2 linked regions of the Rattus norvegicus genome follow. The protein of the gene in region 1 purifies or fractionates together with the protein of each later gene. This does not show direct contact. Links are inferred from orthologs where the notes say so. Each region holds a gene or a part of one and is shown in the gene's direction. Other genes may lie near its edges.

Evidence for each region.
Region 2: the proteins of En1 (region 1) and Tle1 purify together in Homo sapiens (affinity purification with western blotting; 4 studies listed by BioGRID and IntAct, with this or other methods). This does not show direct contact. The link is inferred for Rattus norvegicus from reciprocal best matches to the Homo sapiens genes EN1 and TLE1.

What each region holds. Positions count from the first base shown.
Region 1 is NC_086031.1:34,302,239-34,306,152, forward strand, and holds the start of En1 (homeobox protein engrailed-1), read left to right. Parts: upstream 1-1,445; 5' UTR 1,446-2,098; coding exon 2,099-3,011; intron 3,012-3,914. UniProt on the Homo sapiens protein: Required for proper formation of the apical ectodermal ridge and correct dorsal-ventral patterning in the limb.
Region 2 is NC_086023.1:90,900,721-90,904,534, reverse strand, and holds part of Tle1 (transducin-like enhancer protein 1), read left to right. Parts: intron 1-1,997; coding exon 1,998-2,145; intron 2,146-3,814. UniProt on the Homo sapiens protein: Transcriptional corepressor that binds to a number of transcription factors. Inhibits NF-kappa-B-regulated gene expression. Inhibits the transcriptional activation mediated by FOXA2, and by CTNNB1 and TCF family members in Wnt signaling.

The sequences.
Region 1 (3,914 bases):
CAAAGAGGTAGTCAGAAACTATAACATTTGGGGATGGCGATCAAGGAAGCGTGGGACTGCCAGGATCTCCAACAGAACATTGGGTGGGAAAGGCTTCCTTTGCAGAGGGCTTTCTTGGACTGAAGGCTTCTACAATCTATTCGTACCTGACCCTCTCTAAAACAGCTCTCCAGGAAATCACTCCAGCTCCCAGAACCACCCTTCCCTCCCTAACCTTGGTAATGAAAAACTTTTGAGGTACTCCATTCGGGGAAAAGAGGAAATGCCCATAATATAGCAGCGTGGGAGCGACTGGAGGCGAGAATCCTCAGGGTTCCACCCCAAGGCACCCGGGAGTGGGCAGCAATACCAGCGAGTTCAGCTTAGAATTAGGGCAACCCGTTGTCCAGCCTTCAGCCAGCCAAGGCAAATATTTGAAGCGCAGTAGTTTTATTGGTTTAATTTCTACTTTGCAGGGAAATCTAACACAGAGGTTTCCCTGAAGTTGAAACCCAAACCTAGGCCTTGAAAGGTGGCACATCATGTCGCCTGGTTTAGGCTCGCTTTTGAGACAACTCTACCAGGTTAGAACAACCCGGATTCCCCTTAGCCAGGCCGGCACTAGAGCTCTGGACATGGCTTCACAGACCCCCATCTCGGCAGCTTGGGGTGTTGGTGATCCAGAGAGGGAAGGGCATGTTTGCGGATCTCAAACGACAGTGTGGCTAGCCATTGACATAAACCAACAGTGCCATCAAGGTGTAGCAGGCCTCTTGGGTTTGCCATTAGTAGGAAAAAAACTACATCTCTGAAAGTAGCCAGACATAACCTAAGTCTTTCACTCATGCCGGATCTCTTTGGTTTCATTCATTTACACACACACACACACACACACACACACACACACACACACACACACACTCGAACAGAGAGGAGAGACAGAGACAGAGACAGAGACAGACAGAGACAGAGACAGAGACAGAGGGGAGGGAGGGAGAGAGGGAGAGAATATAAGAATATAAGCTAAATGTCTTTGGCGCGCGGGGGGTGGGGGTGGGGTGGGGTATGGTATCCCAAATCCCTGCCGCCTGTCGCTGTCCCCAGCGCGCACGAACCCATAATCCTGTATTTCTCCAACAAGTTGTGGACTTGCTTCTCTTATCTGTCTACATCCCAAATTCTAGCTTTTTCGGATCTCTTCGTGCCCTCTTCAGTCCGGATCTGAAGGAGGGGGAGGGGCGTGGGCACAGATGGGGGCAGGGCAGGCCGGACGTACGGGGCCTGAGCCTCTGCACCCCCTCTCCACCCACGGCCGCCGCCCCCGGATTATTTATCCGCAAAGTCCCGCGCGCGCCCATTGGGCCGAGCCCTGAGTGTCAGCGCGAGTCCCGGCTCGCCATTGGTCCTACACACGTGCGGCCCTGACTCACGTGCTTCCGGTTTGAAGGCAAAAAGTGTGCCTGGGTGATTTTTTTTTTTTTTTTAAGCGAGAGAGTTTGTGCAAAGATCCGAGCTGTCAGAGATTTCAGGGGGGAAAACGGAGCCCGGCACTGGCGGAGACGCGCTCTCCCTGCAAAAAAGCAAAGGCGATTAAAGGCGCTGCCAGCCTCGCGCTCTGGGCACAGCTGAGCGTGACACTGGGGAAGTCAAACCCCTCTTTACAGCCTAGGAAGATGGCTAGACTTTAAAGACTATTTTTTCCCTTTAAGGAAAAAATCTCGGAGCTTAAAAAAATCATTTTTTTCTTTTCTTTTTTTCCTCCTTTTATTTTTTTAAGCCGAGGCTTACTCCCCCATTAAGACCAATCACTGAAATCTGGTTGCTGAAAGAAAAAAAGAAAAAGAAAAGGAAAAAATAGCCAAGTGTCTTCACTGTATCTGGATGTCTACAAATTAGAGAGAGGGAGAGAGCGAGATTTGCTCCACCAGAGCGGGCGAGAGCCAGGCCAGACGCTCGGCTTTCTTTTTTCCTTCTGTACCCGCCCTGTGCCTTCGCTGAGGCTTCGCCTTGCCTCCTTCCTCTCCGCGCACCCCCACGGGCCCGCTGGCAAAGTGGGGTGGGGAGCGAGGCGCGGGGGGCGGGGGCCGGCGCCGCGGCCAGGGCTGCCGGGCGGCCGAGCATGGAAGAACAGCAGCCGGAGCCTAAAAGTCAGCGCGACTCGGGCCTCGGCGCGGTGGCAGCGGCGGCGGCGGTGGTGGCGGCGGCGGCCCCGGGCGGCCTCAGCCTGAGTCTCAGCCCAGGAGCCAGCGGCAGCAGCGGCAGCGATGGAGACAGCGTGCCGGTGTCCCCGCAGCCAGCGCCCCCGTCGCCTCCTGCGGCACCCTGCCTGCCGCCCCTGGCCCATCACCCGCACCTCCCCCCGCATCCCCCGCCCCCGCCGCCACCGCCGCCGCCGCCGCCGCCACCGCAGCATCTCGCGGCGCCTGCTCACCAGCCGCAGCCCGCGGCCCAGCTGCACCGCACCACCAACTTTTTCATCGATAACATTCTAAGGCCCGATTTTGGTTGCAAAAAGGAACAGCCCCTGCCGCAGCTCCTAGTGGCTTCGGCTGCAGCCGGAGGAGGTGCAGCAGGAGGTGGAAGCCGCGTGGAGCGTGACCGAAGCCAGACTGGTGCAGGTAGAGACCCTGTCCACTCTCTGGGCACACGAGCTTCGGGCGCTGCCTCGCTCTTGTGTGCTCCAGATGCGAACTGTGGCCCACCCGACGGCTCCCAGCCCGCCACCGCCGTCGGCGCGGGCGCATCCAAAGCGGGGAACCCGGCTGCTGCGGCGGCTGCAGCCGCGGCAGCGGCTGCAGCGGCAGTGGCAGCGGCGGCGGCCGCAGCATCGAAGCCCTCGGACAGTGGCGGTGGCAGTGGAGGCAGCGCAGGAAGTCCTGGGGCGCAGGGTGCCAAGTTCCCGGAACACAACCCCGCGATCCTACTCATGGGTTCGGCTAACGGTGGGCCGGTAGTCAAGACTGACTCGCAGCAACCCCTAGTCTGGCCCGCCTGGGTCTACTGCACACGCTACTCGGACCGTCCATCCTCTGGTGAGTACAGGGGCCCGGATGTACACACGCGTTCAGGCCCTGGCCATGTCCTAGAATTTCCAAACCCCCCCGCTCTGGGGAGAGCAAGCCAGGTTTGAAGCTCTATCAACTTCATGTTTGACTTCTCTTGCCGCGGGTCCCAGTCACAACCCAAAGTGTGCTCGATTCTGCAATGCTGGCCTTTGCCACCAAGGAAGTCACAGCTATTGGCACGCACAGAAGGCTCTAGTTTCTGTCCTTTGATTTTACGAACTCTGAGCCCTGGGGTCATTTTTATATTTTATTTTATTATCTAGAAGAAAGATATATAATTACTATTGAAATATTGAGTAGGGAAAGGGCGCTTTGAGCTGGCGGGAAGATAGGCCTAGTGGCTTGGATCTGCATCTATCGTCTTAGTCCTGCCAGCACTGGATTTAGCCAGGGAAATGAATCAGAGAAATATTCTTTGCTGCGTGTTTTAAACAAACACTGTGGATATTATTCTATGGAGAGTCCATTTTCATAAAGACAGATATGGGGGGAGACAGAAAAAAGAAAAGCGCCATCCCTTGCGCCCCGCCCGGGTATGGGGAGTCAACCCGCGTGGGTAGAATGTAGAGAAAGGCTAGAAAGGTGAGCAGCCACTGCTCGCTGGAGCTGGCAGGCCTTAGGAGAGCAAAGCAAGCAGGCCAGGGGTAGGTTCGAAAGCTGGACCCTAGGCAAGGGAATCAGCCAGCATGTGCCCAGCAGCAGGGCTCTCCTGTCTCTTCGGCCTTGATTTCTTTCTTTCACTCTCTCCTTCGCAAATGTGCCCGTTAGTAGCTATCTGTCTATCTTAGGTCAATTCTCTGCTTTCTTTTCTGCTGCTGTAGCACCTACCCAAGGTCAGCTGCTGGGCTCTGGAAGAGGGGGCTCAGGCCT
Region 2 (3,814 bases), on another chromosome or scaffold:
TGATTTGAGGTTGGCCAGAGTCTTGTTTGTGCAAATCGAAATCTACTGACACAAGACAACAAAAGAACATTAAAAATAAGCTTCCATTGCATTGAAACCACAAAATAACTTTAAAATATCTGTATTTCTCCATAACTAACTAAGAGGATCATTCCACCTGGGAGCACACAGGCCTCTGATCGGCTTCTAGATCCTCTCTCTTCCCTCAGCCACTCCTCTTGTTCCATTTAATGCTCATACCAGAGTCATTCCAGAAACTGTTTTTAAGAGTAAGCACTTAAGTCAAATGTAGTGTTGGGTGAAAACCTGTAACTTAGTCTTTGGGAAATAGAAACAGAGATTTTAAGTCAAGACTGTCTGTATCTCTATCCTCTACTTTATAGATGAGAGCCAGGCACAGAAGTAACTTTGCTCTGGTCCTGTAGACAGACCTGGCATTCTGTTGCATGCTGGCTCCCTGGAGTAAGCAATAGTCATGTGTGTATGTGTGTGGGCGGGGGGTTGGGGGTGGTGCCTTGTATGTGGTTTAGCTTGGACTGGCCATGCGTGGCCAGTGTCTCCTCTGTGTGACAATCCTGTATTTCCTATGACACAGCATATTCTCAGAAGTCAACAACTTGACAGTCACATGAGGATGTACATGAAGGGGGAGGCTAGAGGAACTCCTCCACCATTGCTGATGGTACACAAGGAAAGATGTTTGGGATGAAGGATTAATAATTCTTTGAGTTGAAAAGGTTATAAGAAGTCAGGATGAAAGAAAAAAGTCGTGACAATTGTTTGAAGAAACAAAAGGAAGAAAGGTACCACAAAGATCCCTTCATTCCAGGGTGATCATGGAGAGGCCAACTAGTACTGTTGAGTACTTGCTAGTCAATAGCAGGGAATAAGGTATGTGAAAGGAGAGGACGAGTAGGGACAGGGATTGACGTAGGGATCATGCTTGTGAAAGACTCCTGGTTCATATCTTGGCTAAGAATTCAGGGTGATTTTTCTTTCTCTTGTACTTTTAAATTCTAAGCTTGGCACTCTGTGGTAATAAGGTATGATGGGGCCTAGAGAAAGAAAGGACCTTTTTGGCATTGAAATTCCTAACCAGTTCTATTCTGGGTCTTTCCTGTTTCTGAAGGTGGGTCCTGACCTCTCTGATCTGCCCTAGCCAAAGCATGCTCAGCATGTAGAGTCAGGTTTATAAATGTCACTGCATACCCCATCTGCCAAGCCCAGACCCCACCTTGGTCATATTCTTTCCACTGCCCATCTGACTTGTTGCCTCGTGCCCTTCCAGGGGTCAGAAATCCCTGCTACCTACTGATTTTGGATTCTCTTTGAAAGTTGTGTGAAGGTCACCTGTAAAGAAAGCCTTATACCAGGGATGGGGTCTGGCCAGTGTCTGACCTCCTCAGTACTTTTCTTTGTCTCTACCTAACACCTCTGAGGTCAAGAGGCTACTTGACTTGGTCTCTGGGAGTCCACATTTTCTAAAGCAAGGCCCTTTATGATTCAGAAGGGCTGAGTACACAAAGTTCATGCTGTGCTAGCAGGAAGGGCTCTACTGGTAGATTATCTTCTAAATGAATGTGTTCTTGGAAGAAGCCTTTTCCTTTCTGTGGGTTCAAGTCTTGGCCACTGAAGGACTGTTCTTTATCTTTCCTTAAGGAAATTGGTTTTTGTGTGTTTATCTTTATTGTCTCTTAGTACTTAAACTCTTTTCCAGACCAGGGAAGAATTTCACTGGGTCTGTTTATCAGAGACCATAGGATACCTGGCTTCTGGCAGCATCCTGCAAGCCATTCCATTTCTTTAGGCTGTGAATGTTGAAAAAAGAAACAGAACCTGCAGGGGCTGTTTCCTGTGCTCCTCAGGGGAAGGTTACTTTGATACTGCACACCAACAGACACTGAGATGACACACAGTGAGTCCAAAACTAACAACACAACAGTGTTTACCTTGAGCTCTGGCAGGAAATCATTATTCAGTCTGGTTTGTTTTATCAGGCAATTCCAGGGCCACACAGACGGAGCCAGCTGTATTGACATTTCTAATGATGGCACCAAGCTCTGGACAGGCGGTTTAGACAACACTGTGAGGTCCTGGGACCTGAGAGAAGGAAGGCAGCTGCAGCAGCATGATTTCACTTCACAGGTGAGTGCTTGGCTCTGGCCTGCTGTGGAGTCCAAAGGGTTCCCACCTCAGCATCAGGGTAGCATGATAAGCAGATGAGTTTAAAACCACAGATATACAATACTTTCTCTCTCTCTCTCTCTCTCTCTCTCTCTCTCTCTCTCTCTCTCTCTTTCCCCCACCCTCTCTCTCTCTCTCTCTCTCTCTCACACACACACACACATACACACACACACACACACACACACACACACACACACACACACACACACACACACTCACTATGCCCCCTTTAAAAGGGGAGGAATGATTACAAAAATCCTGCAAGTCAAACCATGTTAAGATGCTTTATGTACACGTGGTTTTGGTGAAAGGTGCAGTAGAGAATAGACAGGTTTTCTTCAGCAGGATACACAGTCTGCTGAGTGTATTATCACCATCAAATGCAGAACGAGATTGAAGTGAATGTTAATTTTTTTCAAGGAGTTTGAACTTGTGGATGCCCATCTCCTTTCTTAACCTTATAAAACAACCATGGCGAAGCCCCACCACTGAGGGGCAAGTGCACACTTGGTTCCATTCCTAACCAAGAAGGTATTTGCAATTGATACCTACTGGTAATGGAAAATTCGTTTTCTCCTATGGAGGGTCATTATATACATCTGCTACACTCTGGGCAGGCCCCATGCCTCAAAGTAATTGACCAACACGAACTCCATGGGCTTTGGGAAGAAGGGGGCTTTTTTATGTTCTTTGGTTTGGTTTGGGGTTTTTTTGACTTACTGATGTTTTGCTTGTTTGTGTGTTTGAGAGGGGAGGGAGGGAGCAAGAGAGAATATAGAGGTCGTTGGATGAGAAGGTGAGGAAGATCTTTGAGAATGGGGGAAGGGAAGATGATTAAAATATATGAAGATTTTTTCAATAGAAAAAGATATATCACTTGCTTGCTCACTGTGTTTTTTGTTTTCAGGTAAAAAAATTAAAAAATTGGGTAAAAGTGGAAAACTATATATATTGTTTTAATTCTATTCCGTTCCTCTGATAAAATATCATGACCAGAAAGCAGCTTAGAAGAAAACAATTTATTTAATTAATTATTCCAGGTCACAGTCCATTGTTGTCAAAAAGTCACAGTGGCAGGAGCTTAAAACAGGTCACATTGCATCCATAGTTAAGGGGCAGAGAGGACAGGAGTACTGCATACATGTTAGTATATTATCTGTGTTCTTCTCATTCAGTCCAAGGCTCAGCCTGTGAAGGGGTGATGTACATGGTGGGTCCTCCACCTCAAATAACCCAACTAACAAAATTTTTCACAGTCACGCCTACAAGCTAACCAAATCCAGGTAATTCTTTGTTGAAATTCTTCCCAGACAACTCTAGGTTGTGTCAACTGTCATATCTACTCATTTTAGGTGACTGTTGATTTTAGCTTTACAGTCATTCCTGTTCTACACTTCTGTAGGATATGCAGCATACTATTTTAAGAAAATATCAAATGTCTATAAAGGTCAAACATTGCAAGCTTATATCAAATACAGACAATTATATTACCTATCCTAAGCAGGTATCAGTGCCTGGTCAGTTTTGTTATACCATCCTTACTCCAAACATTGGATTACAGATCCTAGACATTTTATTTCTCCCATAAGCATATTTCAGTTAGTATCTCTTAATGATGACTTCCAAT